2 linked regions of the Xenopus tropicalis genome follow. The protein of the gene in region 1 purifies or fractionates together with the protein of each later gene. This does not show direct contact. Links are inferred from orthologs where the notes say so. Each region holds a gene or a part of one and is shown on either strand. Other genes may lie near its edges.

The links.
Region 2: the proteins of nek1 (region 1) and cfap410 purify together in Homo sapiens (affinity purification with mass spectrometry; 3 studies listed by BioGRID and IntAct, with this or other methods). This does not show direct contact. The link is inferred for Xenopus tropicalis from reciprocal best matches to the Homo sapiens genes NEK1 and CFAP410.

Annotation. Positions count from the first base shown.
Region 1 is NC_030677.2:50,026,722-50,043,287, reverse strand, and holds part of nek1 (serine/threonine-protein kinase Nek1), read right to left. Parts: intron 14,226-16,566; coding exon 14,156-14,225; intron 13,580-14,155; coding exon 13,422-13,579; intron 12,095-13,421; coding exon 12,035-12,094; intron 11,817-12,034; coding exon 11,751-11,816; intron 9,993-11,750; coding exon 9,945-9,992; intron 8,539-9,944; coding exon 8,464-8,538; intron 8,024-8,463; coding exon 7,845-8,023; intron 7,759-7,844; coding exon 7,636-7,758; intron 6,772-7,635; coding exon 6,669-6,771; intron 2,921-6,668; coding exon of another isoform or gene 2,837-2,920; intron 1,018-2,836; coding exon 934-1,017; intron 1-933. UniProt on the Homo sapiens protein: Phosphorylates serines and threonines, but also appears to possess tyrosine kinase activity. Involved in DNA damage checkpoint control and for proper DNA damage repair.
Region 2 is NC_030685.2:48,519,860-48,536,425, reverse strand, and holds the end of cfap410 (cilia and flagella associated protein 410), read left to right. Parts: intron 1-626; coding exon of another isoform or gene 627-662; coding exon 663-673; intron 674-2,942; coding exon 2,943-3,172; intron 3,173-6,224; coding exon 6,225-6,396; intron 6,397-9,289; coding exon 9,290-9,386; intron 9,387-12,751; coding exon 12,752-12,880; 3' UTR 12,881-13,346; downstream 13,347-16,566. UniProt on the Homo sapiens protein: Plays a role in cilia formation and/or maintenance. Plays a role in the regulation of cell morphology and cytoskeletal organization. Involved in DNA damage repair.

The sequences.
Region 1 (16,566 bases):
TTTATGCTCCTAGATGGAAGATTTAAACTATGAGGTGAGACTGTCGAGGTTGAGGTTGTTTTCTCTGGAAAAGAGGCGCTTGCGAGGGGACATGATTACTCTGTACAAGTACATTAGAGGGGATTATAGGCAGATGGGGGATGTTCTTTTTTCCCATAAAAACAATCAACGCACCAGAGGTCACCCCTTTAGATTAGAGGAACGGAGCTTCCATTTGAAGCAGCGTAGGTGGTTTTTCACGGTGAGGGCAGTGAGGTTGGGGAATGCCCTTCCTAGTGATGTGGTAATGGCAGATTCTGTTAATGCCTATAAGAGGGGCCTGGATGAGTTCTTGAACAATCAAAATATCCAAGGCTATTGTGATACTAATATCTACAGTTAGTACTAGTGGTTGTATTTATAGTTTATGTATGTGAGTGTATCGATTGGTAGGTGTGGGTTAGGTGTGCTGGGTTTACTTGGATGGGTTGAACTTGATGGACACTGGTCTTTTTTCAACCCTATGTAACTATGTAACTAGACTGCTGAAAGTCCATCTTAGAAGTCAATTAAGCCTTAAAAGGGCTCTTCAAGAGTAAAAGTCCAAAAAGCACTGCTCTAAGGGCTTTAGCACACAGAGTACTTTGATCAATGCTACAAGTCACAGAATCAAACATGCTGTGTGCCACTTCCCTAAAACTGCAGGAGAACAAAAAGCCACTTTAAAATAATGGAACTAATGCTCTGTGCTTTATTCTTCAGAAGACAAGGAAACAGGCCCAGCCTGTTTTATGTGTCACTGCATTAAGGAACAAAACTACAGCACAGATGTGGTAGAACAGTAGCCATGATCAACCCGTAGAGCAATAAGTTTGGCAAGTAAATAATCATACAGTTTTATATTTCTGTTATTTTCTATTAACCTTTTTTATAGCAGAGATTTTTACTACTTGCCTTTGCCCCTCTCAGCTTGGCTTTTATTTGTTGTCGCTCATTAAAATTCTGGAGTCTGATTTGTCTAAGTCTTGCTAAATACTCCTAAAATGCAAAGAAAAGAAAAGGGAACACAAATACACATTGTATTGTCTTCATCTTAAAGTTTGTACAGTGGAGCATAGAATTCTTCCACATTAACCGAACACAGGAGTGGCAACAGATTTCAGTGGGTTTTAGATCAATGACGAATGGGACTGTTGGATCAAGACAATTTAGAAATTTAATCGGGAGAGTGGCTGTTGACTGCTGTCAGTGTGGAAATCCTCTGGTATAGGGCTAAAAGAAGGACACATACCAGTGTAGGAAATGAATGGTTGCCACTGTATGATCGCCAGGATTTTGAACAAGGGAAACTGAAGCAATCCAACAACTTTGTGTGCCAATAGACAATAAGTAGGTTCAGCACAAGCACATAGAACTCATGCTAAACACGGAGGCATAGTGCCCCTTTAAAAAAAGGTAATTAATTTACACTGAGTTAATGTTAAAAGGCAAAGCCTTGAACTCCTTCCACATTTTCTGATCTATTCACACAATTATTCATTCAAATGCAGAATGAAATACCAATAAGAACTCTATAAAACAGGAAATGGCACAAAAAGAAAATGCTGACATGTAAAAGAAAAAACAAAACTTTATGAAAATTGATGTAACTATATAAGCTGAGGTTTCTTCAAGAGTATGATAATTAGGCAAAAACAATTACAGCAATTCATTGCTGCAGACTGCCAGCCCTATATGGCACCCACTGGTCATATCATTGAGTGCAAAACTCCTTTGGGACTGAATGTAATGATCAGAATTCCTTTAAGGAACAGTAACACCAAAAAATGAATGTGATTAACCTTTTGTGAGCCACACTTAGATGTAAAAAGTGTTGGTGAACCTTAGAAGCAAGAAAAAAGTTCTCTGGGGATGCCAAATAAGGGCTGTGATTGGCTGTTTGGTAGGCCCATGTGGACTGCTGTCCTGCAGGAGGGTCTGCTTGGAGTGAGACTACGTCTTTGTGCTTCCAAAACTTGCCTCCAAGCCAGAAAATGGGCCCCTACTGAGGCCACTGAGAGCAACAACAAAGGGGGTGGTGAGCAGCATGTTGCTCCCGAGCCACTAGTTGGGGATCAAAAGCCCAGAGAGCCATTTGATTGCAGGAGCTGACTTACTTGACAAGAGAAATGGCGATGAATGGGTTGTCTGGTTTGCCTTCTCTTGGATCAACATAATAAAGCTTTAACATACTTAATGATTAGTTACCATTGTAATTAGGTATAATGTCTGAGGAAAAGTCACGAAGCAACAGGATGGTTGTAGGTTTGGCATAGAAAGATGCACTTTATAAAGACTGTCCATGTGTTAAGTTATAATGGGTACCACAGGTAAATAACCATGTTATCACACAGGATGATAACTGCAGAAACAAATTAGCTGAGTAAAGCTTTATCCACAGAAAAGCCAAACAAGGATACAAGAAATGCAAAGTAGCAAAGCATGGCAGACTTTAACAAATCTCTTTGCACACAACAGGGGCTCACAACGCATTAATCGGATAACAGAAAGACCACAAAACCATTCAGACACTGAGATGCTAGCAAACAATAAACACATGAAAAATGAAAAACATACAACAAATAGCATGATATGGCAAACAGCAGATAGGCAAAGAAGATTCTTGCACATTCCTGATCCATTAAGGATTAAATTGGTTAGCCTTTTCAGCCTCCAGCAGTGATGTGTTAAATAAATTTTGGACTCCTCCAAAGCTTTCCACAATATTTGTTAGGCAAAACATTTGGGGAGCATGCACAAGGATACGGTGGTGTCAGGTAATGGGGCAGTGAGGGGGCGCAGGCATGCTGAAGCCTACCTTTTCTTCTCTGTTGCGTGCCTTGCCTCCTCCTGCAGAATTTGGCCTGCCTCCACAGATAGCTGCCAGGTTGTGCACTGCGTCCTGTTCACCATTCAATGCATCACATGTAAGAATGGCAGGAGCTACAGCCCTTTTGAAATCATCTATGTTACTGCTCATCCCTTTCCTCATTCCCCTTGTAATCCTCTGTCTTAAACCCCAAAAATTAGTAATTTCCAATGACCTATAAAGCCGAACAGTGAACTCAGTTATCTTTACTCTAAAGAGTAGAAATGTGTATGTGAGCTTGCTCTTTCCAAATCAGCACTTAGCAATCCAAATGAGGAGAAAGCACTAAGAGCATCTGTTAGTGGAAAGTATTTTGCTTATGGCTCAAGGCAAAGCTATTGCAGACATGTATTAAAGTAACTATACAAGAAGCACTTGAAATGATTATTAGTGGTTCCTACTGCTGGATCACAACACTTCCTCAAGGTAGATTGGGGCAATCCAACAGCCCTATGTGCCACTGGCCCGTTGGTTGCTCTTCACAAGTCAGCACAGGTAGAACAGCAACATATGGAATTTGGTAATCCATAAAAATGGAAAAAGTTTAAACTTCAAAATTATTCAAGCATTTAAAATTGTGTTGCACTATCATGGGAGGGTTGGATTAGTTAATCCTTCTATTCAAATGGATGTGCTTGGAGGATCAAAACCTCTTGGATATAATAAGGACAGATTCATTTCAGATTGTGAACATATTTAATTGATTCTTGCAAGGATCCTAGGAATCCGAACCCTACCATATAAATAGGGTTTAGAATGGAATGGGAATTGAAAGAGATGTTCTAGAAAAATGCTGCACAGTTTAGATTTATCATGTATTTATAAAGAGCCAACATATTCCACAGCACAGGTTTTCCATTCTAAGTGATCAATAATGACGTCACATTTTGATGTGGAAGAAATTAGCATGGAAACCCCAAAATACTGACAATTGCTCAATTTGCTTGGTAGTGATTGTAAATAATGACCTGATTGCTGAGCGGCTATGTAAAGAAATTTGGCAAAGCCAACCTATCATACTAAAGTGCAGCAATAAATGAAAGGCAGGGTCAAGACCACTGATCTACTATCGATTTTTGCTGCCTGAGCAAAGCTTGTGTAAATGTTCAGTGGTTTTATCTGTAACCTCCATATGTTTAAACCCAGAATTCCAATGCTGTGAGTCTCCTTGCTAAACTAAACACAAAACCATAGATTAATGCAATGAATTATTTTAGCAAAGCCAGCAAGAAAGAGTGAGTTAATGGCAATGAATTATAAGCTGCACCACCTCGCTGCATCTGGCATTGGGTTTTCAGGACACACACACACCCACACACATAAACAAAGACTTTAATAAATGGTATGGTTTTTTACGTGATAAAATAATTTATATTGCCGGATCTAACACAGGGGAATTATATTTGGCTTGAATAAGGCTAATTAATGTCCAGAAAAATGCACAAGGAATGATTGCAACATATTGTAAACCTAGGCTAAAGTTGGTATAGATATTAGAAGTTAGAAGATGGTCTCCAAAATACACCTTGTTCTAATTCAAACATGTCCTACGAGTTCTGCAGTCTTTTGATATTTCTAGCATGCAAGTCTGAATTTAATGCTATAATTTAATATAGCAATTATCATTGTATGTGCTTTATATTTAATAACAAGCATGACAGCAAGTTCCATGGAAGGTACTTTGTAATGTGTGGCTCATTTAAGTGCATACCATACAACATGTATATAAGTGTGCAGCGTAAAATGTACTTTGTACTGGATACCAACTATAGCACAGTAGAATGTATGATTATATGTACAGTAGTTTATAATGTGTATAATGTATTACACCACAGGATGTACATTTCATGTGACTTACTGTACTCTGCTATCCAACAGATTAATAACATCATTCCACACAAAAGATACCAAAAATGAAAAACTGTTACATTATGCTGCTTACAGCCATTGATAGCTGATATAAGCATCCACTATATGAATCTTTTGCAACTTTTACATGTGTGCCAACCACAGCCAAGCAAAAGTGAATTGCCAACATACTGCAAGCTGAAACTGAATGAATGCCGAAATTCCTGTATTGTGAATCAATGCATTTGATAAATCATTGGGACACCTAAGGCTAGTGGCGCATTCTATGTTCTTTGGATTTCAGTGCTAAAATGAATCATGTTATACACCAAAATCTGTCCAGTTTGTGTCCCAACAGGCCGATACTGTGCCAGTCAATGCATGCAGAACACAGCGTGGAATACAGCAGATCTGCCTTTTCTCTGCCTGTCTGTGGAAATCAGCTAAGTTTTGTTTTCACATCTAAAAAAACCACCCCCGAATCACCATAACTCCTCAAACCATAACTACGGTGTCTTTGTCACAGAGACAGGTATTTGTCTTATTGGATTGCCAAGCCAAAACATAAGAAAAGGGTCTCCTGTTTCCCCATGATATTATTTATTAAATTCTTGATTTTTTTGTCCCTTCCATAACTGTTGAGCACAGGGACATGAGACTGAAAGATCTGACATAAAGCCACCCATTCAATTTATACAATTACTCACTATGCTCATCTGAACACTTATGGAATTTAGATTGCTTTTTTTTTTTTGTAGATGATGACAGTTAGTACACTGCTAATATCATAGGTGTGTGAGGCTAATGCCACATGGGAATGATTCTCCGATAAATGCATGCCAAAAATCAGCCCCTATGTTGGCATCAGCATCATTAACAGGAATGCCCCCTGCTGTTTTGTTGGAGCAAAAGTTCAAGTTACTAAAGCGGGAAGCATTTCCTTATGCTTCTCTGCACAACTTCTATAGCTCTGGTCATACTGAGTGAGAGAACTGAGCAGAAATCCATCAAGATACATTTCCTGCATCAGCAGATTAAAGGACCCATGCAGTTTAAAAGTGCAAAAAGGTTCAAAAGTGCTCTGAAGAGCATGTTGAACAATTTTACATTGTTTTGTGGGTGGGCATATGTCCTAATTCTCTCTGCCAGAGGTGCTTTTGTGATGATAGATGTAGGGTTCTCTCGTCTACTATGAGGCACAAAATTATTACACAGAGCACCAGGTAAGCTTGCTTTCATGGGAGCTCAATTTTTAATGACCTTGGTTATTTAATACTAAATGATGATAAAAGAGATAAAGAAGCTTCCTGAAATATACAAAACAAATTATACTGGCTCAAACCCTTCTTTATGTTTTCTATAACCCTATTGGTGCTGAGCAGGGTAACAGGATATAACACATAGGAAGATCAGTGTAAATGGTAACTCCCCAACCTTTACCCATGAGCCACATTCATATGTCAAAAAGGTTGGAGAGAATCATAAGCATGCAAAAATTTCCTGAGGGTGCCAAATATGGGATGTGATTGGCTTTTGGTAGCCCCTTTTTAGCCTGGCAGCCTACAAGAGGATGTGGCAATAAACATTTTTTTTTATCTTTTTTTGCAACTAAAGCTTGCCCTCAAGACAGAAATTAAAAAACGAGCACAGGCACTGAGGCCACTGGGAGCAACATCCAAGGGGTTGGTGAGCCACTGGTTGGGGATTACTGCCCTAGACAAAGATCATTGGGGACCATACAGGCCTATAAGGAAAGCATTCAAGACAGGAGACAAGGGGCAGAAACTACTTAGTGGGTTATCTCTATCACATTGAAAAACGAAAAGCTGCATTGTGGGTAAAAAACATAGTAACTTGCATCTGAATTTTGCTCTTTCGCTGCCTTTGCAAATGAGCCCTATAAAAGAAAAGTGTAAACATGCTGTTTCCCTACCATATGTCCCTCTGCTCGAGCCTTATTTTGCATTGCTTCATGCTTCCGTTGCAAAAACTCTTCAACCTGTCTTGCCTTTTCTGCAGAAACGTGTCCTTGAATCCTAAAGACAGAAAACATGACATAAATTGTCATTATTGTTATAGTTATTTTGCAAGACAATGTAATTTATTACTTCCATCAGACACACTTTTAGGGAAACTTCCTGGAAGTGTTAAATTTGCAGTGGAGTTCACATATAAGTAGGTTTGTATACTGGGGCATGACTAAATAACATTTCTAAATGTGGCCTTGGTTCTTGTCCTTTTACGATCATGTATTTAAAATTGTCCTGTCTTCAGATGGATTTAAGTAGCCATAGGCTTTAGATGTTGCCTTGTCTCAGTTGTCTGGGTCTAGTCTGGGTATGACCCTTTTCCCTTTTTCTAAAAGAGGCTAGGAATGGAGGGGTATCAAAGCAATTAAAATTCTATAAAGTTTGGTAACTAGCTTCAATTGGTTGCTAAACCATAATGTATACTCATATCTAGCTGATCTGTAATTATTATTAATTGTTGCCAAAAAGCTTGTTTTAATTGCAGGTATTTAAATAATTTAGATGGTCTTCCTGGTAGTCTGGTCTTGATTTGGTCATAGTTTTTAAAGTTGCCTTCCTCTACCAGGTCTGCAAGATTCTGATTCCGACAGCAAGCCAATGTTCATATTGCAGTAACACTAAGTGGGAGGTGCCCCACAAAGGTAAATAAAGAGCAAACAGGAGTAGAGTCATGGTCCAGATCCACTATGTGCCATTTAGCACTAGGTGGTTGAAGTATAGACTGGACTACAATGCCATAGTTGTTTTTACATTACAATATAAAACAGAGTTATGCTACACAGAACCTTGTATAATGGATAACAAGAGAAAGAATGAAAAGGAGAAGATCTGCTTATCAACCTACAATACAAATTAGATATAAAAACCAACTTGTTGCCAATGGCTTGATTGTGTACTTCTTGCAGCCTCTTCAGTTCCCTTCTCACTGCATCACCATCTGGGAATGGAGAATGAGCTGAAGGACAATTTTCTTGTTCAGGATGCTTAGGAACTCTGTAGGCAACACAAATCTGTGAGAGATCCTTGTACTTGTCGAGAATTCAAACTATGCATTCAAACCAGCTAAAATCCATTCTTACCTGCTATAAGTGTCAGGATTTTGGATATCTGCCTTTAGTTTCACCTCTTTTTCCACTGCTGCTTTGATGTTTTCCTTCTGCTGCTGCATCTGATCAAAAATGGAATGGTAATGCTCATAGGGACCTCTACCCATGCCTTGTGGGGGTGCTACACCTCCCCCTCCACCAAAATAAGGTGCCTAAAACAATAGATGGTCAATAACATTATACTACATACTGGGTGTACTATATCAACACATACAGGCATTGTATTTAATACAACAAGCAGAGTTGTTTCATCAGTATCAATGGTATCTCTAACTACCAAGTCCTTCTGAGCTTGATTGCATTTTATATTGTTGGGCTCATCAGAGATAAGCCGATGGTGATCCTTACGGAAACAGACAAGATCCACCTTAATTTTCCAATAGTATTCTCAAAAAGAAAATAATGACACTTTTACTGAATGTAGTGTACATAAAAAATAAAAAAGTAGTGGCTTTTATCAGTTTGAAACAACAGGAATGTGAACTAAGGATTATATCCCAATGTCCCATTCCACTTGAATGAAATGTGAATCTTGTTTATAAGCACATATTTCATACGATTGACTTTATTTCAGGTATGAGTCCCCTCATACCTTAATATCTCCGCTTCCTCCTGAGCTGATTACATTTCTCCAGCCTTGCTCTCGTGCACGATTTATTCGCTCCAACTAGAAATAACAATATAGCGTCAGTGTTGCAGCCTGACATGTTTTTTTATTAGAACTAGTCTTATAAACAAGCAGTAAGATTCTGGAAATCTGGGAAAGTCTGCAAAAAAGTATATTCTTTACTAGGACAGTTCAGAGGAGCTGTGTAAGATAACTACAACCATATTTAGGAGCAGCTCATGATAAATACTGCCCACAGGATTAATGTTTAGCTGCAGTAACAATTTAGTTTAAAGGAAATGTAGCCGCTGTACTTTAGAACCAATACAATGGCACCTCAGCGCAACCAGACCAAAAACAGTTTGTCAATATTGCCTTTACTCTTCCAATAAACATTCAATGTCATGGATACTTTGGCTGCATGCATGAGATATGCAATACTATACTACAATGCTGCATAAGATGGGACAACAAAATCTTCTGTAGAGAATACTCTCTCAATATGTTCAAAGCTAAACTCAAACCCCTTGCAGCACTGGCATAAGATCTATTTTAATCTTAACACTTTTTAGTGTAAAAGAATATATTATATTTAGTTATTCATCTTTTATAATTATATTGTTCCCAGTAAGTTCCATTAATGTACTGCTTGTATATAACACAATTTGCTTAGGCAGTTTTGTACATTCGTACATATAGAAGATTGTATTTATGCAGCTTTCCTTCAGAAAAACTTGCAATTACTCTGCTGACATCTACTGGTCATGCAAATTTAGTGTATGAAAGGAATAATTATAGCTGAAGCTTAAGACGTTAAGTATATTTAGTAGTATCCAGCAAAATGGATACATGGTACATATTCCCACAGGATCATTGTTACAATACTGTAAGCAAGGTGTTGTCATATTTTGCACAAGTGGGATCTAGTATCCAGGATGCAAGGGACCTAGTGTTTTCCAGATAAGGGATCTTTCCGCAATATGAATCAACGTGCCTTAAGTCTGCTAAATAACAGTTAAGCATCCAGTAGTTTAGTTGGAATCAAGTACAAGGCAATTTACAAGGCAAGATTTATTATTACAAAGAAAAAGGAAAACGTTTCTCATTTTTCACACAAATTAGAATTATTTGCTTAACATGGGAGATGGCCTTCCTGTAATTTTGAGCTTTCTCGACAAATGTTCCAGATAAGGGTTCCCATATCTGTATATGAATTCTGTCTTGTATGTTTATGCCATGGGTATTCCCTATTTCTGTATGAAACTAAAGAAATAGAGGGAAGGATAGAGAAGAGTATGAAAAAAGAAGAGACAAGTAGACCAAAGAAGGTAAACAGAGGTAAGAACATTGTTTGGAGAGTTGGTCTAAGGTTTCCTGGCGGGCCAAACATGACCAAAGAGGATAAAAAATATAGACTTAGGGACAACAGGTACATTTAAGAACATTATGCATGTACATAATCTTACCCTTTCCTTTTCCAGTCTCCTCATCTGTTCGGCCCTTAGTAGATTAAACTAAAATGGCAATAACAGAAACAATCTTTTCAGTAAAGCATATTTTAAAAAGGGGGAACCATTAGAGTATCTGCATTAGGCAAGAGACCAAGGACTGCTTTAAACAGCAGAAATGTGTAGGGATAAATAAATTACTTCTGGCACCATAAAAGCATGGAGATAAGTTACTATGCATGCTAAGCTCTATAGATTTAACAGATTCTCTTCACTGAACTTCCAGTGCATATCCAGAGAACTACAATAAAGGCACAAAAATTATTAAATGGGACCTGTCACCCACAGATAAAAATCTGTATAATAAAAGCCCTCTTCAAACTAAAAATGAAACCAATTTTTTTGTTACAAGCACATCCATCAATACCTGTTATTAAGGTGCAGGTATAGGACCCATTATCCAGAATGCTCGGGACCAAGGGTATTCCGGATAAGGGGTCTTTCCATAATTTGGATCTCCATACCTTAAGTCTACTAAAAAATTAATAAAACATTAATTAAACCCAATAGGATTGTTTTGCCTCCAATAAGGATTATTTATATCTTAGTTGGGATCAATTACAAGGTTCTGTTTTATTTCTACATAAAAAAAGGAAATCAGTTTTAAAATTCTGAATTATTTGCTTATAATGAAGTCTATGGGAGACAGGCTTTCCGTAATTCGGAGCTTTCTGGATAATGGGTTTCCGGATAAGGGGTCCGATACCAGTATTTAAAAAGCGGTCAATATAATGCCTGCCCTGCCCCATCTCTATGCCTCAGACATGGGGACGGGGCTTACCCTTTCCATTTAGCATCACTGCATTCCTCACATCCCCCCCTCACTGCTGTGCATGGGCATTAGGTTCCCTATTCTAGTGAATACACATGATTTGGAGCCACTGCAAAGCTTGCCTTAATAAAAGTGTTCACAAAATGGCACCAGTCTATGTGCTCTAATTGTGAATTCCAAAACAATTAAGGAAACGAGATTTAAAGAATTTTTAGTGTCAGTAAAGTTTATTTTGCTACACAAACACAACAGAAGAGAGTTTGGAACTATTTCTTAGGGTGACAGGTCCCCTTTAAAGGAGGACTAAACCCTAAAAATGAATATGGCTAGACATGCCGTATTTTATATAATAAGCTTATTGAACCAGCCTAAAGATTCAACACCTCTATAGTAGTAATAATCCAGTCCTTTAAAGTCACAGGAGTGACCATAATGGACACTTCTGCTAGAAGTGTCTGCCACACTCACATACTGCTGATTCTCAGCAGCTGTTGAGAAGCTAAGGGGTCGTCTGAAATTATCAAGCAAAGAAAATGATGTTTGTTATTTAAGCTGATCCTAATGGGCTGATGATTAAAGTCTGATGCTAATAGCACTGGTTTCAGAGCTGCCATGCAGTAATCATCTGTGTTAATTACTAATCAGCCTAATATTGTGACATTTATATCCCATATATACATTATATTGTGCAGCTGCCCCTAAGCTCAGTAAGTGACAGCAGCACCGAGCTTGTGCAGTGAATCAGCAGAAAAGAAGATGGGGAGCTACTGGGGGCATCTTCGGGGACATAGATCTTTATTGCTAAAGGGCTGTGGTTGCCTTGGGCTGGTACAGAAGCACAAAACATAATTTACAACATTTCTAGCCTACGTCTTTAGTTAGGCTTTCATTCTCCTTTAAGAGTCACCAGAGATCAAGACAAAATAAGTTACCATTTCTTAATTGGAACATGTCAGCGTCCCTTAAAGCAAGTAGAGAGCCACAAATAATACCTGTTCCCGTTGTCTTTTTTCCTTCTCCAGTTGTCTAACATCCATCCTTTTTTTCTTGGCCCCGTCCTGCAAGAAATGCAATTCTAAATAACTCCTAGCAGCAATGTAAGTAAAGGTACTTCTTCCAACCCAACAGGTTAGTGGCGGCTGAGCCATGAAGTAGAAGTGACTGAAGGTTAAAGGGTGAGAACACTAAACAAGGAGGAAAGGTTTGAAGGTTTCCCTGCAGCTAATCTGTGTAGCTGACAGTTCTGAGACAGAAATATGGGCAACTTTCTGTATACCTCAAACATTTTCCTCCTTTCGTCTACAGGATTCACTTTCTTCAGTGGTACTGCTGGGGCCTGGACAAAGAGTGAAACTATACATTAGATTAGAATTCCAGATGTTCCCTGCATGAAGCTGCGCAATATGACAATTAGGAATCACTGGAATAATAAAAAATGGCACTGACAATGCTGCAAAAGTTCAATACAGTTTCACTGCTAAGAAAAAGTTAACAACCATCAGACTGCTGTGCTAGCATCAGTTTCATCCATTAAACAGTATCAAGGGAAACCAATAATTAAAACAAAATAAAAGTCAGTTTAGCACAGGGATTATTAAGCACCAATTCCAAAATGGTACCCAGAATGTTGCTACACTAAGGTGTCCAGATAGGGGCTCTATCTGTTGTTCGAGGACCAAGTAAACCATAAGCAGCTGTGTATTATATAATATATATATAAATGAGCAATAACTCCAAATACTTTGAACTGCACACAGTGCAGTAGTATAAATATTTTTTCTCCTCCTTAATTGGCCAATACTCAAATGAGGCAAGGGCAAGCACTGTATAATTAGACAACCATAACGGCAGTTTGGTTTTATGTATTTTCTACATAATTTGCCATTTTATTTGGATTACTCCAAAAAACACATTTAAAGTGCCCATACACGTGAAGATTCGCTCGCTTGGCGAGGTCGCCAAGCGAGCGGATCTTCACCCGATATCCCCACCTACGGGTGGCGATATCGGGGAACATGTAGGCTTATTCGATCGTTTGGCCCTGGGGCCAAACAATTGAATTATAATGGAGGCAATGGGGCAGTCGGTTCGGGGACCACATCAACGAGCTGATGTGGTCCCCGATCCAACTAAATCTTTTAACCTGCCCAATCAATATCTGCCCAATTTCAGGCCAGATATCAGTCAGGCATGCCCCTCATTTCTGCCCCTACACTGGCCGATAAGCTGCCGAATCGGTCCAATATATCAGATCGATATCGGCAGCTACAATCGGCCCGTGTATGGCCACCTTTAGGGTTTAGGGACATTTAAACATAAATTCTATTTAGACAATATTAAAATTAGTTGAGTGAGTGATTAAACCTGAATGGCACAAAAGCTGTGTTGGCAATCCAAAAGCAGGCCATACATTATAAGATGTACTTGTTTGTTGAGATTGCTAAATGAGTAGAACTTTGCCTGATTTTACCACCAACACAATAATCTGAATGATACATGTGCCCATAAACTGCCAACTCAGGGGCAGGCTTGCACAAGCCTGTCTTAGCAGAATGTAATGTGACAAACATGGAATAACCTGACTAAAGAATACTAGAAAGAGCTCCTGTTTGTTTACTAACAAGACATGGGTATATAGCCGTGCAAAGATATTACCAACTCACCTGTCTGTGTCTGATTTGGGGTTTCTTATCATGATGCTTCTTTGCAGCATCTGAAGATTTTTTTGTTGTTAAAGGCACTCCGTATTTAGCAGCAGGTTTAGTGATTTTGTGAGCAGGAGGGGAAGCAGGAACCACTTGTGCTGGAGTTGGTCTTTTGGCTGATTAAGTATAACAATAATGCAGCATGTTAAAATCAAAATTATGACAGTAAGGGCCAGATTTATGAACATTCAGATGGTCGTGGTTTTAGAGATTTTTTAAACCATAAATAAACTCATTGCCACTGAAACCACAAACAAATTAAAAAACAAATTGAAAAAGCACCAACGAACTAAACTGTGGAATAAAAATGAAAAGAACACGAAAACCACAAATTTTTTGTGGTTTTTACATTTTTCCACAAATATTCATGGACATACAAACCCCTCCTCCACCAAAAAAACCTCTCAAACCACAAATTAATAAAGATTGTTACAATTTGCCAACAACTGTTCTTATTGATTTGTTCGTGACCTCAACAGCTTTTAGATGGCAGGGTAAATGACTTATATCCTTTCTTCTAAATCACCACAGAAGAGTAACTTGTTACACACAGTAAGCATTCAACTTTTTTGGGAAAGTTGGAATGGCATTGAAATAAATGCTTCAAACCTCAGTTGGACGGTATGAATCAGCATATTAACATAATGAAGGATAATTGCAACACTCTGACCCAGCACAATGCATGTACTTGCCTGCTGCAGCTTGGATCCCAGGTTTGGGGTGATTCACAAAGGCTCCCAGGCCAAACTCTTCAGCAATATGCTGATTGCACATAGGGAAGTAGAAGATAAAAAAAAAAACACAACACTTTAAGTATATACAGTAAGAGGAAACTTATGCAGGATTTATGGAAAGGTACACCTCTGAACTATGTTACAAACTAGTCTAGTGATGCTGAGAGAAAAGCTGATCTGTTGACTGGCAACAACTTTGCTCTAGCAGGCCCCTCACGGGCTGCTTTGCCTGCACAGATGTAGGAGAGGGTCACAGAACACAGTGGGCCTCATTTAAAAACATAGAGCAATTTTGTAACAGAACTATAAGCCATAGCAACCAATCAGCAATTAGTTTTTAGCTGTCTACTGCAATCAGTGATTTGTTACTATTGTTTACTATGGGGATTCTACACTGGTACAAAATTGACCAATGAGTTATCACTTGTGCAGTAACCAATAGCAACAAATTACTTTTTTGTTTTCATTATTCTTCCTGCAGAATTCAAAATAACTGATTTGCTGCTATAATTTACTGTCCAGGTGTAAAATAGCCCAAATGGCTCCCTACTGTTATACTGCCAGGAGTAACCTCCTAGGTGAAGCAGGAGAGCCCTGCCAACCCCGGAATTCCCCGACGCCTTTTTGCAGCCCCGGATTTTCTGCAGTGGCGTTGACAGGGATCCTACACATGACCAAGGTTAATCAACGAGGCACCAGAGGAATTAGGCGAATACAAGGTCAAAGTCAGGCAAATGGTCAGTGGCAGGCAGTAAGGTAAGTCAGGGACAGGCAAAAGTAAAAAACCAGCAGAAATCACAACATAGGCTTTAGCAAAGTCATAGTACACTAAACCAGTTTTGGCACTGAAACAAACCAAGGAGCGCTATTTAAATTTGGCTCCAAAATTGGCGTAAGCCAAGTTGTAACGCAGCGGCAAGCAGTGCCAGCGTTACTGCGCATACGTGCGTGCCGTGGGAGATTTGCGCCTAGCCTTCCGGTGCTCCTTACACTTACAATGGGTAATCATCTTTTTATTCACAGATAAGGAAATTAATCAACTGTGTTTAAATCACAAGATACAAATTAAGGGGATTCTGTCACAGGAAAACATGTTTTTTACAAAACGCAATAGTTGCTAGCACTCTGCCTGCAGAATCTTGCATTGAAATCCATTTTTAAAGAGCAAACAGTTTTTAAATTTAATTTTAAAATGTGACATCATCCCCCTCCCTTTTGCTCAGACTCAGGCACAATGTACTGAGATGGCGCCTACACACACATATCACAGCTAAACAAACACATTTGTTGGTTTGGGAATAAAATGTTAGGGTGAATTATTAAATAAAATAAAAGAATATTAAATGAAATAAAAAGTACACCATAAAAATTCTGACAGAATCCCTTTAAACTAAATCCTTTTTTGGATAGTCTGATGCATCCTTAAAAGAGCAACACAAACAAAACAACTTAGGGATTCTGTCTGATTTTTATGTTGTACTTTTTATTTCTAAAATACACTGTTTACAGAGCAAAGAATTCACTCTAACATTTAAAATGTTATTCTTTTACCAACAAGATTTGAACTTGGATTACTAAGGGGTCCCGTCTCTCTCCTGCCCCTAGCCTCTAAACTCCTGGAACGTCTTGTCTTTTCTCGTGTAACTAACTTCCTCTGCACCCATAATCTGCTGGACCCTATGCAGTCTGGTTTTCAGCCTGCGCACTCCACTGAGACGGCCTTATATAGAGTGGCAAATGATCTCCAGACTGCCAAGGCCAAAGGACGCTACTCGGTTCTCATTCTCCTAGACCTTTCCTCTGCTTTTGATACTGTCGACCATTCTATCCTTATGAAAATTCTCTATTCTCTGGGTATCCGGGATCAAGCAGCATCCTGGTTCTCTTCCTATCTCTCTAACCGCTCCTTCTCTGTCGCTCTTGCTAACAAATCCTCTACCCCGGTTCCGCTTAGTGTGGGGGTGCCTCAGGGCTCTGTGCTTGGTCCTTTGCTGTTCTCCCTGTATACTCTCTCTTTGGGAGACCTTATCTCTTCCTTTGGTCTTAAATATCACTTATATGCAGATGACATCCAGATATATTTAGACACCCCTGCACTAACCGCTGATGTTCAAACCCAGATTGGTAACTGCCTCCTGGCTATCTCCTCCTGGATGAACAGGCGCCACCTCAAACTTAACCTAGCTAAAACTGAGCTCATGGTCTTCCCACCCAAACCTGGCCCTCCTCCTCCTTTCACCATCACTATTGATGGCATGACCATCAACCCTGTAAATTCTGCACGCTGCCTTAGGGTTATCTTTGACCAGTCACTCTCCTTCGCTAACCATATTAATCACACTGCCAAAACCTGCCGTTTTTTCCTCCGC
Region 2 (16,566 bases), on another chromosome or scaffold:
ACTTGAAAATACAAATATGGTGGGTAATACTTATATATTATGAATAAAAGCACTGCTATAATTAGAATACTGGGACATACCCTCCCTACTCCAGGCAAAAGTGTATTTACAGCATGTATGCAAAAATCCATCCAACAAATAAAGAAAATCATAGAATATGGGAATGTATCCAGTGGTGTAACCAGTGGGAAGCAGCCCCTGCAACAGTAGGGGCCTGTAAGAACCCATTACACACACGAGATTACTGATATTATATATAATTTCTATGGGTGAAAATTACAGTGTATGCCTATCTCATTCACACCTACACCTACTGACTTATCAGGAGCCAGTTAATATTGCCTGTTGTTTTTATTTTTTTTGAAGTACCCTTGAGAAAATCCACACAGACTTCATATGTATCCTTGAAGATAGTACTCTGGCTAGGGCCCAATGCGCAAGTCTGTAACCTATTGCTCTATTGGGCTGCCCATAATATTTGACTTTATGCTATTTAATTATTTATACATGTTAACGTTTCATTTTAATTTTTATAACATGTGACAAGCTTTTAGATTATATGTGTCATATATATAAGTATATAGACTGTATATAAACATTTGTAATATATTATTTGTTTCTTTAAGATCTCTGTATGTCATGAGCTTCCCAACATTGAGGTTATGACATTAAGGTAAGTAGAAAAAGGTTTTTAGCAGAATGCATTTTTGGTTGGAAAACAATATACAGAAAAAATAATATTTTATGTGCTGTAAATGTTTTTTTTACATTGAGACTTTTTCAGATATTTACTTTTTTTTTTAAAGAGGAGGAATGAAGGGTGGGAAGTTTTATGGCTCTAATACTGCTGTATCCTGTGTAAGCTATGTAGACCTTATTAAGTTGAAATTCACCTTTACTTTTAGTGTTATAGATGGACAAATTCTGATCAACTCTTTAATAGGGCTTCATTTATATTCATTATTTGGTGGGGGGGGGGGTTCTCCAAAAAATAGCTTTCCTAATCTCAGACTGGGGGATAGTTTTTTCAGCTGCTGCATTCAGGTCAAGGGAACTTGTATTCTTTCCCATCCAAAGTGCATCCAACTTTTTGCCTCTTCTCAGCAACTGTCACTAAATGGGTCCAATCCACCAAAAACACAACTGTGGTTTATGTACAGAAACAAATAGGCTTTAAAAGTGTCAAGAATTAACATTTATCGTGATTTAGGCAGAACACAATATATTAGGGTTAGTAGCCTATATGTTCTAGGCTAGGCAAATATGCCTAAACTCTGACATGTGGAGCCTGAATCCTTTGGTGTTCCAAATAATAGAAAAATGTTTGGTGTACCACAAATTAACTTAAAGGAGATGTAAATGTTAAAAAAAACAAATCATATATTTAGCCTTAGACTACTATTCTCTACACTTTACACTACCTTAATTTTTAATATAAGACTACCTTAATCCACCGTGTCTTCAGAAGGAGCAGAAGCCCCCACCCTCCTGGAAAAAAAACCCCCTGCTCATACACAGGCTGGCTCCTGCTGCCTCCAGGCATGCGCAGAAGGGGCTCTCCACTCCGACAAGTTGTCAGTATAGTGAGAGACCTGAACAGGAAGTGGGGGCGGAGCTTCACTCTTAACAAAGAAGGAGTGGAATAGAACAGAATGTAACTCAGCAACCAGGTAAGAAAGAACAGAGGGACAAAGGCAGACAATCTGGGAAGCTGTTTAGAGTAATTTTATTAATAGAAAAAAAAAAGTTTACTTATTCTTTAACAGTAGCTGATACAAAGTAAGTATCATGTCTTCTATTTCAAATTTCTTTATGGTCCTGATGCAAGTCTCTTGCAGCAATAATGCTGGAGATTCACCTATGATTTCCCTTCCTTTTCTGTGATCTGAAGAATATGGAAGAAAAAAGATCAGGAGGGAGATTCAGCCATAATTGCTTACTGACTAACCCATGTTCTGATAATTTTTGTTGTAAATCCCGTATCTAAAGTTCTTTCTCAGTCCCATATGTGATTGAGATCAAAATTATCTTTCTCTCTTGACCCTAAATCAGATTAGGAATGCCAGTGCCATACACTGGATTAAGTTTGGGATATTTCCCACTACTTAGGTCATGCAAAGAAACGTCATAAGTTCAATTTTCAAAGAGGCTGTAAAAAAGGCATGGCCCCTTTAATGACAATTGTCAGTTGATGGATTATTTTGTGCATGGTTATGGCTAAACGGTAGTCTGTTTTGTAAGTTCCCCAAGTAACATTGGTCACATCCTGGACATTAAAAGCCAGAGCCCCTCCAGAGCTTATCTGTAAAGCAGTCATATTGTCATCTGGCACTTTTTAATTAAAAGTTGCATTATAATTTTTTTGTGTGAAATGATGCACCCTTCTTTATTTGTATTATATCCAATATTGGTGGTTTGCCTACATGGTTACTTGGAAACAGAGACCATTCTAGCTAACAGTGTAATTTCTTTTTCTCAAGTAACTCTTGATGGAAGGCAACTTTAATTGCTTTATTTGTAGAACAATACTACAAGGGTTGTTAAATCTGTGTTACACTTTTCTTTAAAAAATCAAGCATCTAAAAGCTGGCGAATGTTAAAGTTAATGGGGGCTGTATTTTCAAAATTCAAGATATTTTTTCATTCAAGTATTCAAGATTAATTTGAAAGTGTAGAATGTGATTTCACTGCGTTTGTGTTTTTTTTCACATTTTTGGGCAAAGGAGATTTGAGTTTGAAGTTGGTTTCATAAATAACAACACAATTGAGATTTTCAAGTTGAATTTTTTAGAATTAAAATAAACTCAAATTCAAATTTTTATAAATCTGCCTCCCTGTGACTGATATGCTGTTTATTTCATAGTGGTAGTTAATGAAGAACTATGCTCATTAATTCTAATTTACAAATATTTCAGCTCAGTTTGTAATTGTATTTTTCACAGTGTAAATAACATATCAACCCTGGAACCAATAAGATACTGCCATAACCTTGCGGAGTTGTATCTACGGAAGAATAATATTTCCAGTTTAAATGAACTGTACTACCTAAAAGAGCTTCCCAGGCTAAAGATTTTATGGTTATCGGAAAACCCCTGTTGTGGTGCTGACCCTCAGAAGTATAGAATGACAGTTCTTCGAAACCTTCCAAATCTTCAAAAACTCGACAATCAAGGTAATGCTAAAAATAACATATCTCCATTAAGGAACCATACTTTAACGCAGTAAAGCAGTTTCATTACAGAATTGTGGTTATTATTATTATTTTCAAATTTGAGAAGTGTAGAGAACTAACCTCTTTGCTTACAGCCTGCAGAAGTCTTTCATCGCTGCTGAAACTCTTGGATGAAGACAGGATTTTTATTACTTTTCTGTTTACATCTCTGTAAAATTTATTTCAGTCTCTTCATCATTATGTATAATATTAATCCCAAAAATGTTTTTCACTGCTCGTCTGACATTTCTTGCTATTTCACACCTGGGAACTTAATATAAAAGAAATGAGTTTATGGTTCATATTGGGTTGTTTACATGGCGAGGCCAGTTTGACAATCAAAAGTTCCGGTAGCATGCCATTAGGACATTAAAACATGTAGAGAACATAGTAGGTGGTTTTTGGCGAATTATATACCAACATTCCTTTGGTCTTCTTTAAAACAGCCTTTATTAAATCATTGGCACAAATATTATAGCAACAGTTTGGAACATATAGGACCCCTTGTTAAAACTGGCATTTAAAGGTTAATTTACATTAATTTTATTTTCCAGATATAGAGGCCTGTTTATTTAACATTAGGAATATGCCTTGGTTCTGCCTTTGTCTTATAAGCGCTTTTGCAAGCGATTTTGTCCTGCATGGGAACATGAGTATATGTAGGCCCCTTTTTTTCTATATTGTCTATACTTACTGTGCTTCACGGATGTAGCAAGTTGACTATGGTCTCTATAGGAAAGAATAGGCTGTGTTAACTCATGTGTTCCCTTGCAGTGAACGCATAAAAAAGCCACCGCAAGGGAACACATGACAAAACACTTGAATGTGTGAGAGCCCTAACTAATAATGACTGGAAATTAATACTTGGTGAACCAAATGAAAAGAAAAATCTGACTGTGCCATGTTGTTATTTGCAGGTATGTTATAGTTTTCATATTAATACAGGTATGGGACCTATTATCCAGAATGCTCGGGACCTGGAATTTTCTTTCAGTAATTTGGATCTCCGTTCTATTATTATTCTACAAAAAATCGTTTTATCATTAAATAACCCCAATAGGATTGTTTTGCACCCGATAAGGATTCATGATATTTTAGTTGGGATCAAGTTCTGTTGTATTATTAATGAAAAAGGAAAATTGTATTTAAACATTTTAATTATTTGATGGAGTGTATTGGAGATGGCCTTCCTGTAATTCAGAGCTTTCTGGGTAACGGGTTTCTAGATAACGGATCCTATACCTGTTATAATTAGTTCTATTATTACTATTAATACAGTTTAATCTTCCTCTTATTTCACTATAAAGATTAACTGATTTGTCATTATTTTATATTTATATGCAATCTACATAAAATATGGTGAATTGTCGCTTAGACTCAATACCTTACAGATGTCACTTGGCTGTCCATCATTGTTTTTAAGGGTTAGGATTACTTGATAGGCTATATACAATTAATAAATTTGTTTTAATGAAATTTTTATAATTTTTACAGTCAATGTCTTTCATGACAGGAAAAGTACAAAAAAAAAAAAAGCAAAGCTTGATACATTTTTACTTGCAATATTAAGTACTCTGTACTGTTAGAAATATGTCCATGTAACGTTTTGTTGTCACAAATGGTGGATAGTTGTTCTAAATTATGATATATTTTTATACAGTGCTCCATTAAAAATGCATGTAACTGTAGTGCACAAATGCATATTAAGGGGATAATTAAAAGTGATCTATAACAATTGTAGGGTCTTACAGTCACACTTAAAGGAACAGTAACACCAAAAAATGTATATATTTTAAAGAAATTAAACTATAATGTACTGCTGCCCTGCACTGGTAAAAGTTTTGTGTTTGCTTCAGAAACGCTACTAGAGTTTATATAAACCCTGGTGTGTAGCCATGGGGGCAGCCATTTAAAAGAAGAAAAGGCACAGGTTATATAGCAGCTAATCCTAATAAGAAAAAGACACACACACCGTTGGGCAGACATTTTTTTAATGAAAGACATAATGTAACCACTCTAAGCTGGATGGTCCTCCAGCAGGTTGCTATGCCTACAAGAGGGGGGGACAGAAAAGCCATGCTATTGAGACTTGAAGCGAAATGGATTGAGTCTCTTAATACTATTGAACCAAGGGGAATGAATGAGGCTTGGAGTCTCAAATGTTTTCTGTAAACCACAGGACTATACATTGTCAAGCTAATAACCCCTTAAAAATATTTTTGCAGATTGAGGCCTATACTGCTTCCTACCTTTACAATGGACTGAACTACCAGATTGTATGAGTAACGTTTTGGATACATAAAGATACTATATATTTTTGTGGTGTTATGTGGATAGACCCTGCGGTAATTTCCATTAATTGCTCTGTTTATGTAATTGTTATACCTGGCCACTAGATGGAGCTGGTATCCTTATCACATGACTTAATTGGTGGAGTGGGGGTTTAAAAAGGTGTTCACCTAGTGTTCTTTATACTGCACCAGAGGAAGGACCCCAGAGGTCCGAAACATGTAGTGCGTGCTATGCATCTCTAAACTAATAAACAACACAGAACGCATTTGGCTCTCCAGTGGATATTTTTTATTTTTATATTTTAACATAAACCGTGTAGAATACAATGGTGTCTTATCTGTTATCTGCTATGTAACCTGTGCCTTTTTTCCAGCTTCAATGGCTGCCCCCATGGCTACACAGCAGCTTATTTATATAAACTATAGTGGTGTTCCTGAAGCAAACACCCCAGATTTACCAGTGCAGGGCCACAGTACGTTATATTTCAATTACTTTAAAACACTTTCATTTTTTGGTGTTACTGTTCCTTTAAGACTCAGTACATTTTCTCTTTAGGTAACAATGGAATTTAAAGGTGTTTTGGGCGGGCTGACTATGTGACATACCTAAAAGGTACAGTGCAGCTTCTCCTGAATTCCAACGCTGTTTGTTCAAGAAAATAGAGACTATACAAAGTAATTTTTAATATTCAGTATTATTTTTTTGTTACTTCTTTCAATAGTGGTGACAGAGGAGGAACTTACTCAAGCCCTTACAGATGGTGAAGAACTGACAGGCCCCCAAACAAAAATATCAAATTCAGACAACAGTCATGATGAGACATCTATAGACCGTAACTATGGTACCAGAGAGTCAGAAAATGATTTGCTAAACTTTAGCATGGAAGAAACCAAGTAAGAATTTGATTGGATTGGGTTTATTCAGTTAGATTTCCAAAGGATTATTTTTACTATACTTTGTTTATTTAAATTCCTGTACACAAAGTAGGGTGACTTTGGGCTGGAACCAGTGCCTGCACAGTGTGTTTTTGGGGTTTGAGGGGAACTGGAGTCCCCAAAGGAAGCCTTTGCAACAAAGAGGAACAGAAACATTTCTTGCAGTGCCAGTTCAGAGTTATACACTGATAATACTTGAGTATTATAATTATGCTTTACTTATGCATCACCAACATGCTTCTGCAGAGTTTTGCACAGATTGTTCAACATTCCTGCCACAGTGGCGCTTACAATCTAAGGCCACTATAAAAATCACTGTGGTTTTATGAGCAGGCCATTTTGGAGCGTTTTTGGTGCATCAGTGCTAACCATGGTGCTACTGTACTGTACAATTATACAAAAATATCCTGTAAATTATATGTTTTCAAAGTTCTGATTGTCTGCCACCAAGTAAAGATTTATAATGCTATATGTACAACCTGCGGCCCTCCATTCTTTTCTAAAATTATGACTCCAAGCGTACTGTAATACTCTCAGGGTATAAGTAGATGCTGGATGAAAAAGTATATCTCAGTTATTAGAAGGTATATCTGTGCCATAGGATAGTACAGTATGAGAATAAAGTCTGATATGTTACATTCTAAACACAGTTTTTTATTACTGAATTTGTTTATAATTGATTTTGACCCGTACATTTTTATATGTATTTTTCTAAATGATCTCTATATAGTATTTTTACCCCCAATTGTAAAATTTAGGGATATTATAAGTCACCGAGGAGTTCCATGACCAGCACGAAGCCATAGGTGGTACTTTATTTATTATAATATACAAGTATTAGTGAGTCATGTGACAGAAGTTACATCACTAAGCCCCGATTATAACTGATATCATCACTAAGCACCATTTAAAAGGATATAATTTACAGTTTGGTCCCATAGGGAAATGACCAAACTGTATATTATATAGTGCAGTGCTGTCCAACTTCTACGGTGCCGAGGGCCGAAATTTCTCTAGCATACATGGTGGAGGGCCGCTAATGGAAGCCAGTTTTGACCACTCCCCTTTTTGAAACCACACCCACTTCAAACCACACCCATTTTATCACAATGGTGGTAGCACAGCAAAATCCCAAATGCTTGGTCCTTACTGTGGGGATATCAACCATCATTCATATGTGATAGAATTATGTCATATTAAGATATACCCTTAAATTCCATATGCCTCCTCCTCCCCTGTGGATAGCAGAGCAACCCCCAGTACATAATTACACACCTTTGGGACAATTTAATGGCTATTTCCAACTGCTAACAAACTCCCACAACAAACCCCTGCCAGGTTCACCTCCCACAAGCAGCATAGGGCAAGCAGAGTATAGCACACACAGGCATCACTCTGCCTGTCCTATGCTGTCTGTGTGTGCCATACTCTGCCTGTCCTAACCTGCCTGTGTGTGCCATACTCTGCCTGCCCTACCCTGACTGTGTGTGCCATACTCTGCCTGCCCTACCCTTCCTGTGTGTGCCATACTCTGCCTGCCCTACCCTTACTGTGTGTGCCATACTCTGCCTTCCCTACCCTTCCTGTGTGTGCCATACTCTGCCTGCCCTATGCTGCCTGTGTGTGCCATTCTCTGCCTGCCCTACCCTGACTGTGTGTGCCATACTCTGCCCGCCCTACCCTTCCTGTGTGCCATACCTTCCCTGACCTATGCTGCCTGTGTGTGCCATACTCTACCTGCCCTATGCTGGCTGTATGTGCCATACTCTGCCTACAGTACCTATGTCTGAGGTGTGAAGAAGTGAACAATGGGAGTGATTACAGTCTGAGCCTGAGGTGTGAACACTGCAGGGGTTGAACAATGCAGAAACTAAAAGGTGTGAAAAACACAGGGGATTACATTTTTAAACAATGCAGAGGGATTACAGCCTGAATCTGAAGTGAGAACCATGCAGGGGGCCAGTTAATCTCAGTACTGATACCATTTAATGCTTACTCAAAGGTAAGCCATCAAAGCAGCCAGACAGGTGGGGGGCCACACAGAGGGGGGTCGCGGGCCGCATGCGGCCCGCGGGCCGCCAGTTGGACAGCACTGATATAGTGAATAAAGTACCCCCTGTTGTAAAATATAAGGATATTATCAGTCACCAAGGAGTTCCATGACCATATAACCATTTTATACAGGTCATAAAACTATGAAGTGACTTCTAATATCCTCATATTTTACAACAGGCGGTACTTTTTTATTATTTATTATAATATACAAGTTTTAGTGAGTCATGTGACAGAAATTACATCACTAAGCACCGATTGTAACTGATCATCACTAAGCACCGTTCATAAGGATATAATTTACAATTCAGATCTAATTTACAATTTAGATATAATAGGAAAACTGCAGATCTTTGTGAAACTGCTGGGAACTTCAGCATTAGGTGGTATAGCACTGTTTGCCTTTCACATTAAAAAAATAAAATCCTGTAGTTTTGTGGGAGTTTTCTTTATTTTTTGTGCACTTTCTCCGTATAGCTTTTATTTTTAAAGTATTTTTAAATATAACTGAGAAATAAGTTAGTCCTCTCTTTGTGAGTGCAGCCAATACGTAATTGCAATAGAGGGGTTAGTCTTACGTGACTTGCGTGATTTTTTATTTTAAACTCGATTCATTTTTTTCCCCCGAAAAAGTCGCAGAGACTTTCGCAAAGTCTGCGACTTTTTCAAGATTTACTATGAGTCTAAATGGCTAAAAATCCAAATTTGATAAAGTGTGTGCACTTTAGTTATTATAGGTTTGTAAAATTATGATCCATATGGACTGTAGATAATTTTCATCTTTTTCTTAAATTTTTAGCAAAATTCGGGAACAACTAGGCATGAAACCGCTCCCCAGGGACAAATTTTCTTCTTTCTCATCACCAACGGATGGAGATGGTAGCAGAAAGAAAAGGGTATGTGCTAAAATTTATAAGGAGTGTAACAAATGTTTTATAAAAAACTTTTTAGGATAGCTCTTTTCAGCTCCATAAACACTAAGGAAATATTGCTACCTTATTTAAAATATGAAAAAAACAAGAGCACACGTGCAATAGCTTGGCCCTTAGTACTCTTTTCCTAAGTACTTGGGACCCCCTTGAAAAATCTGGAACTCTGTGAAGAGCACAGTTCAGTCCTGCCTTTTGGCATGAATTAAGGACATGGTCCAATGTGGGCTGTGTGTCCTGCTGCTCCTACCTAGCACCTCAGAGTGACGCACAAGGTAGAAAGGACACCTACATGCCTCCCCCCAACTGCAGAGCTAATTGCATCCTTTTTTGCACTTTGCACGTTGCATTTGGGTTTGCAAATGAATCCTATGGTCTTCAACTTGCTTAAATAAGATTGTCTTGTGTATGACCTGACCTTAACATACCATTGTCTTATGTGTATGACCTGCTAATAAAGGGCACCCATGACAATAAAGCCTGCACTCCGGTTTGGGCAAACTATAGATTTTTTTTAAAAAAAACAGCCCCCGCAGGCGTTAGGGCACCAGGCCCGGGAGGGGGCGGCCACATAACTTAGCACACATGCGCATAATGAGCGAAGCTCCCTGCTCACTCATTATGCCCATAAGTGCGAGGTAGGAGAGGTGCATGTGACTCACCCGCCTACGTCACACACATGAGCATAATGACGAGTTGTGACATTTGCTCATAATGCGCATGTCTGTGCCACAACATGGCTGCCCACCACAGGAGCTCCCTCCTGGTTCAGGCAGCCTAGTGTTGTAAAAGGGGTATTTAAAAAAAAAAAAAAAAAAAAAAAAAAAAATATATATATATATATATATATATATATATATATTATATATATATATATATATATATTGTTTCCTCCAACCGGAGTGCGGGCTCCTCCTCAGTTTAAAGGCTCCTGCAAATTTGATACAAAAAAAATTTTGCACCACCAAACAGAGCCTTGTCAAATTGAATTAAAGGCAGAGACTGTGTTAATTACCTACCTTATTAGTTCACCTGCAACAAGCCACAGCTTATGTCCTGTAGCAATTACAGATTTCCTTGCTGTTCTCCTTTGTTCAGAAACAGTGTTCTGTGTGATACAGATGAGACTTTATACAACTTACTGTTGAAAAACCTTTTCTATAAAGCTGTTTAGTCACTGGTGGCACTGCTTTAGTTTCCCATTCTCTGCAGCACTTGTTGAGATTAAATTCTCATTTTAGCACAGTTCCTTTCTGTGTTTAGTTTAGAGTTCACAATACAGCTACTTACCTTCTTTGGGGCTGGATTTTTCTCTAGCCATGTCTGCCATTTTAGTGCATTGCCAGTCTTACAAGAATAATAACTGAAAATGTAAGGTAAGGCCGAGTAAATAAAAATTGCAAGCTTTCAAGTTTATAGTATATACATCTCTACTTCAGGCTTTAAGATGTTACCCTGTAACATATTTTACATTCAAAATATCTCTTTTAAAACACTTAATAGCATTCAAAAATTTGAATATTATAAGTTCATTTTGAATAAATATCATTATCATAGATAGATAAGAGGATAGAAGAAGAAGAAAAACTCCCCCATCCCTGTCCCTGAACCGTCACAAAAAAAACAATTAATCACTCACAAGCCGACTCTGGACACTCTAGGGAATGCAGGAAACTAACTTTCGGTTTGAACAGGAAGTCAAGCAATCACCACATCACTTTTTTTTCTGCTTTGCCCTGTACATGAATGGTAATGTTGTTATAAACCATTTACAATATTGCAATTTCATATGTTAATTGCAATTGCATATGTTAATATGTTAGGAAGGTATATTTTTAATGTAAAATATTGGTGTTACTATTCCTTTAAGTCCTACAAGCTAATTTTTACCTGGTCTGGATCCTAACAATTAGGTTGTATCTGTGCTATTACCTTCTGTTTTAGGTGGCCTTCACCATGTTTCCTTTCGTGTGTCTGTGGTCAATATCCTTGCTCCTTTTCCCAAAATGTTCTCATCTGCTGCCAAATATAGTTTAATGCAGGATAATACCTTGCTGACCCTCTTTGTTGCTTGCTAATACACCTAATACGCTTACATTTATTTCTTACGTGAATAAATTAAGAACAGTAATAATTTTATATCATTTTGACAGCCATTGTTCTTATGTGTTTTCAGTTGAAAAGCATATGTCCCAGTCTGTGCTTTAAATAAAATGTCAGTCTTTGTTGACTCAACGTATGTCTGTTTTTGAAACAAAAACTTCTCTAATTTTTTAAAATTTTAAAATCGAACAAACTCGTTTCCACAAATGTCTTATTTACTACACGACTAAGAAAGGTTGGGAACCCCTGGTTTATAATAAACAGCTATATCTCAATACTTTTTTATTTTAAGCCCCTTTCTAGGCCTCTTAGCCTAGAAAAAAAACTCTTTATTAGCAATTTAGCCTTTCTCTCAAATCGCAACTTTGTTTTAATAAGAGGTTTTTCCCCAGATTCCCCTAGAGGGCCAGCGCCATAGGGTGGCAAACCCTGGAATGATAATCTTGCAACTTCTGGTTAAAGCAAGTTAAATTGCTTGTAAGAAACTAACTCTAATATTGATGTGTGTGCACACAGTACAGCTATATTCATAAGTATATTCATTACTGTACTTTTTTTTTTTTCTTCAGAATATTAACAGCACAGACAGGGATAAACATAACAATAAATATACACAGTTACAAAGATTAAATGCAACATGTTAAAAGGTACTGGAGTTCCCTGCCCTTATAGCTTACAGTCTAAGAGTGCATTTGTTAGAATATAAGCCATAAGGGATGGTGTTAATTTTAGATAAAACCTGGAGTAAAGTACTGGGTTAAACTTAGAGTACGAGTACAGGTATGGGATCTATTATCCAGAAACCAGTTATCCAGAAAGTTTGGATGGGAGGGCCACAAGAAAAAAAATTATTTTTTAATAATGATTTCGTTTTTCTCTGCATTTATAAAACAGTACCTTGCACTTTATCCCACCTAAGTAATAAGTAATCCTTATTGGAGGCAAAAGAATAATAAATGTTTAAATCATGGAGATCCAAATTACAGAACGAACCCTTATCCAGAAAACCCCAAGGCCCTTGCATTTTGGATAATAGGTCCCATTTCTGTACTTGCATCATTGTCAGACAACCATGGACCACACAGTAGCCAACTATGGGCCACAATTCAGTGAGAAACTTTTCTCACTTTTTCATGAATGCACAATAGGTCTATTAGAATTTGAAACTGAATTGGGAGATAAGGATTCATTGATTTATTGAATGTTTTATTTTATTGTCTTTCATTTAGAACAACATTCTTAATGCAGTCTTATTACTGCTGAAAGACCTGGACACTGAAGGACTGGAAATTGTTCAGAGAACTGCCGGACAGAGACTTCACCAGTTAAAAAAGAAAGAGCTCCAGCAGGAAACATAAGGCATTATGTCAAAACTAAAAGTGCACATACAAGATGGACGTCATGCAACTTACTGTGTTTTCTCCCTTCAAAGTATAACAACCTTACAAAGTAAATCCACCAAATACTTACTTCAGAGATGCCTAGGCATTACCTATACATGGGTCTACTTTTTCTATAATCATGCCATAAGTATGTACAATGCCATCTTTATTGTCAGAATGCTGAAAAAAAAATGTAAATGTAATTGAGTTGAGAGAAAATTGAAAAAATATGGTTCCCTTAAACAATCGGTAACACCAAAAATTAAAATATTTAACTACATGATGCATTTGTTTGTCCCGTATGTTTAACATTTTTTTTGAATGTAATGTGTTTAGTGCTGTTCATGTGTATTCTCTTGTGTAAATGAAGCCATACTCAGTATTTTGTGTTCAGTGGTACATATTCGTAAAATTTCAGTAAATCTATTTTTTCAAACAAAAATACTATATTGCATTTTCTATAAATGGTGCGCTTCACAGTACAAACTAAAGTTGACCATCTGCTGGTTTGGTGACACAGGCAGAGGGCTGACATGATGATTTGGTCCCTGGGCCAACAGTAGGGGGCTGATTTACTTAAAAAAAAGTCGCAAAATGTTCGTTTTCAAGTCGGAACTTTTCCAATTCGGGTCGGATTCGTGGGTTAGTAAATCAGCCCCTAGGTGTCTGTACAGATTGATCAGGAAAGGATTGCTTCAGCGGCCCAGTGCATTGCTCATGCCCTATGCCATACAAAGGCAGATGAACAGCACAGTTTGGAGTGGTTGTGTCAGATGCCAGTGCCAGCACTTGAGGCCAGGACTGGTAATCTACATATTTTTGAAAATGTGAAATAAGCTCTTCTAACCTGCTGTAGACTGCTATTCTTTATTGGACCTGTGGGAGGATGTTTAGATCTCAGTAAATGCCATATTAGGTTTTCAATATTCATTGCTTGCTTAGGTGAAAATCATTTGTAAATGCTTTTATAGTATTTTTATTTATTTATGTAACAGGCCATTTAAGCCCCCATTGTTCTAAGCCTGAATAACAGCCAAACAAATGCCTAGGTGTGGGCATTAGCTGGTATGGGATACCAGTTAATGTTCTCCTCAAGAGAGAACATGAGAACCCAGGTAAATGTATGGGGGGGCAATTTAATGTGGCAGTTGTCCAGCTTGAATATATTACAATATTTTCACAAACAATCCCTTTTTTGAGTAAAAGAAGAGAATATTTTTAGGTTTTATGCATAAAATGTATTAATGTCCCCATTATATTTATGAGTGACTGCAGAGGATTTTTCTGTTTCCTCCTATCTACTTTAAAATTGTTCAGTGGTAAATACAACTTTTATCATTTGCAGTATGTATGTACCGGTATGTATGTGCAAGTTAGCTAGCTTTTGGCAAGGAATCTTTTGGGAGGTCCAGAGGTAACTGTTTTTTTCCTAATAGTACAATAACATTCTTGGTACTGAATATTTTGTATATTAGAAGGGTTTTATTGTATTGTTTAGTCCACAATGTTCATCTCTTATCATGTCTTACTACATCAGGTTTGAGTTATACATTATTTTGCAGTTTTATTTTCTACATTTCTTTACAGTAGCCTTGAATAGCAGTAACTTATGTTTCATGCCTGTTGTAATTCTAGGATTGTCATTTATTTTTCTGTTTATATGCCAAAATTTAGAATTAGACATTTTGGCACATGCACATTAGCTGTGTCCTAAATTAGAAAAAATACAAATTATTCCCATTCGTACATTGATGAATGTGCCCCATAGTCTTGTGGTCCTAGCACCAATCTCTCTCGTAAGTAAGCCAGCCTGTTCCGGACATTGCTGCCGCTTCTGGAAATATATTAGCAGGTTATAGACCTGAAGAACCACTCATGCTTCAGATATCTCTGAAGACATTAAAGGCCAAGAGTTGTTATTTTTTCTTCAGTCGGTATCTTTAAAGGGGTACACAGAAAGGGGTTGTGGGAGCACTCCAAGGCTAAATAGAGTATACAAATACAATGGAAGTGCGAGTGATCTGGCCAAATAAACTACAAGCATACAAAAAGAGAGGGGGATTGATCAATGCACATTCCCTGTTCCCCTGTTTCATAAGTAAATTGTCTATGCTATTGCATGTATTGACGAAAAACGGGTTTTTAGTTACAAAATTATGATCATAAGATTGGTAAGCCACCATACCACGTCAAGGTAAACCCCATATGGTGGTCCTATCTATTTACCTCTGGTCATATTTTTCAAAGGCAACTGAGCCTGTAAGTGCAGCGGCAGTGCATTGCGTAAATTTAAGTTGTTCTAGGAGCAACAACTTATATTATCAGCCCATGCAAGTGAGATGTAATTTTAATTTTCCTTCTTTCCTTTGTTCTATGGGGTTTTAATACAAGAATTTTTTAAATGGTTAAAATAAAGGTAAAGTTTTATTTATTCACAGGTGTGCCAGTAGAATGGTGTGTGTCTTGTCCACTTAGGATCTCTTTCTCGAATTATGTTTAATACACACATACTGTGCACCCTGAAGCTGTAGTGCAGGGTTTTTTCTTCCTTTTTGCACAAATTTTTCAAAGGCTGGCACTCCCGTGCACTGTTGCCATTCTTGACCTGGGAGCGATTGCCAGGACCACAGCTTGGTTCTACAGGCTTAATCCTCCCCCATTTGCGGGTTGTAAAGGAGAAGACTGCCCATTAACCAACACCCATTTTTTTAAAGGCATAAGACCACCATTAAAGGGACGGGTGTGGGGGTGCTAAACCACATGGAAATTTGGCCATTCTTCCTGCAGAATAACTCTGCTAAAATACATAGATACACAGAAAGGGGTTGTGGGAGCACTCCAAGGCTAAATAAAGGGGACCTGTCACCCTAAGAAATAATTCCAATTTCTTTTCTATTGTGTTTGTTAAGCAAAATTAACTTCACATACTATATAAATTATATACATCTTGTTTCCTTCAGTCTTGGGAATATACATTCACAGCCAGCAGACAGCTGCCATTTTGTGGGCACTGTTTTAAGACAAGCTTTGTATCACCCCCAAAATCTTGTGTATGTGCCAGAATGGGGGACCTGATGCCTTTGCCCATGCACTGCCTACACAATTAGATGGTGAGAAGGTAGGGAGAATGTGAGTGCTGAATGGAAAGTTTAAGTAATTGTCTTCCCCCGCCTCTATGCCTAAGGCATAGAGGCGGGACAGGCAGTATATGATTGACAGCTGGGATTTTTAAATGCATTTAGAATGGGTTTGAATGTGTTAATATAAAAATGAATTTTGGTTTCATGTTTCATTTGAAAAGGACTTGTATTATACAGCTTTTCATGTCTGGGTGACAGGTCCACTTTAACAGTACTTCCTCAAGTCTCTATAACTTTTTTGACCTTGCACACAGGCTGACAAAATCCCGAAATTCTCCAAACTTAGCACTGCATGATGTAATAGCTAGATATCTTTTCTTTCATATTAAAAATGCCTCTCTTAACTCAGAAATGCAAAATATTTGCCACAACAACGCTAGCCCAACAGAAAGGGGCGAATTCACAAAAGTGGAGAGTGCCCTTTTTTGGCATAAAAATTGGTGGAAAACACTTTCTCCAGATTCCCAAAAAGAATTCCGCCTAAATTCCGACTCAACCGTCACTTTTCCGTTTTTGGTGAAA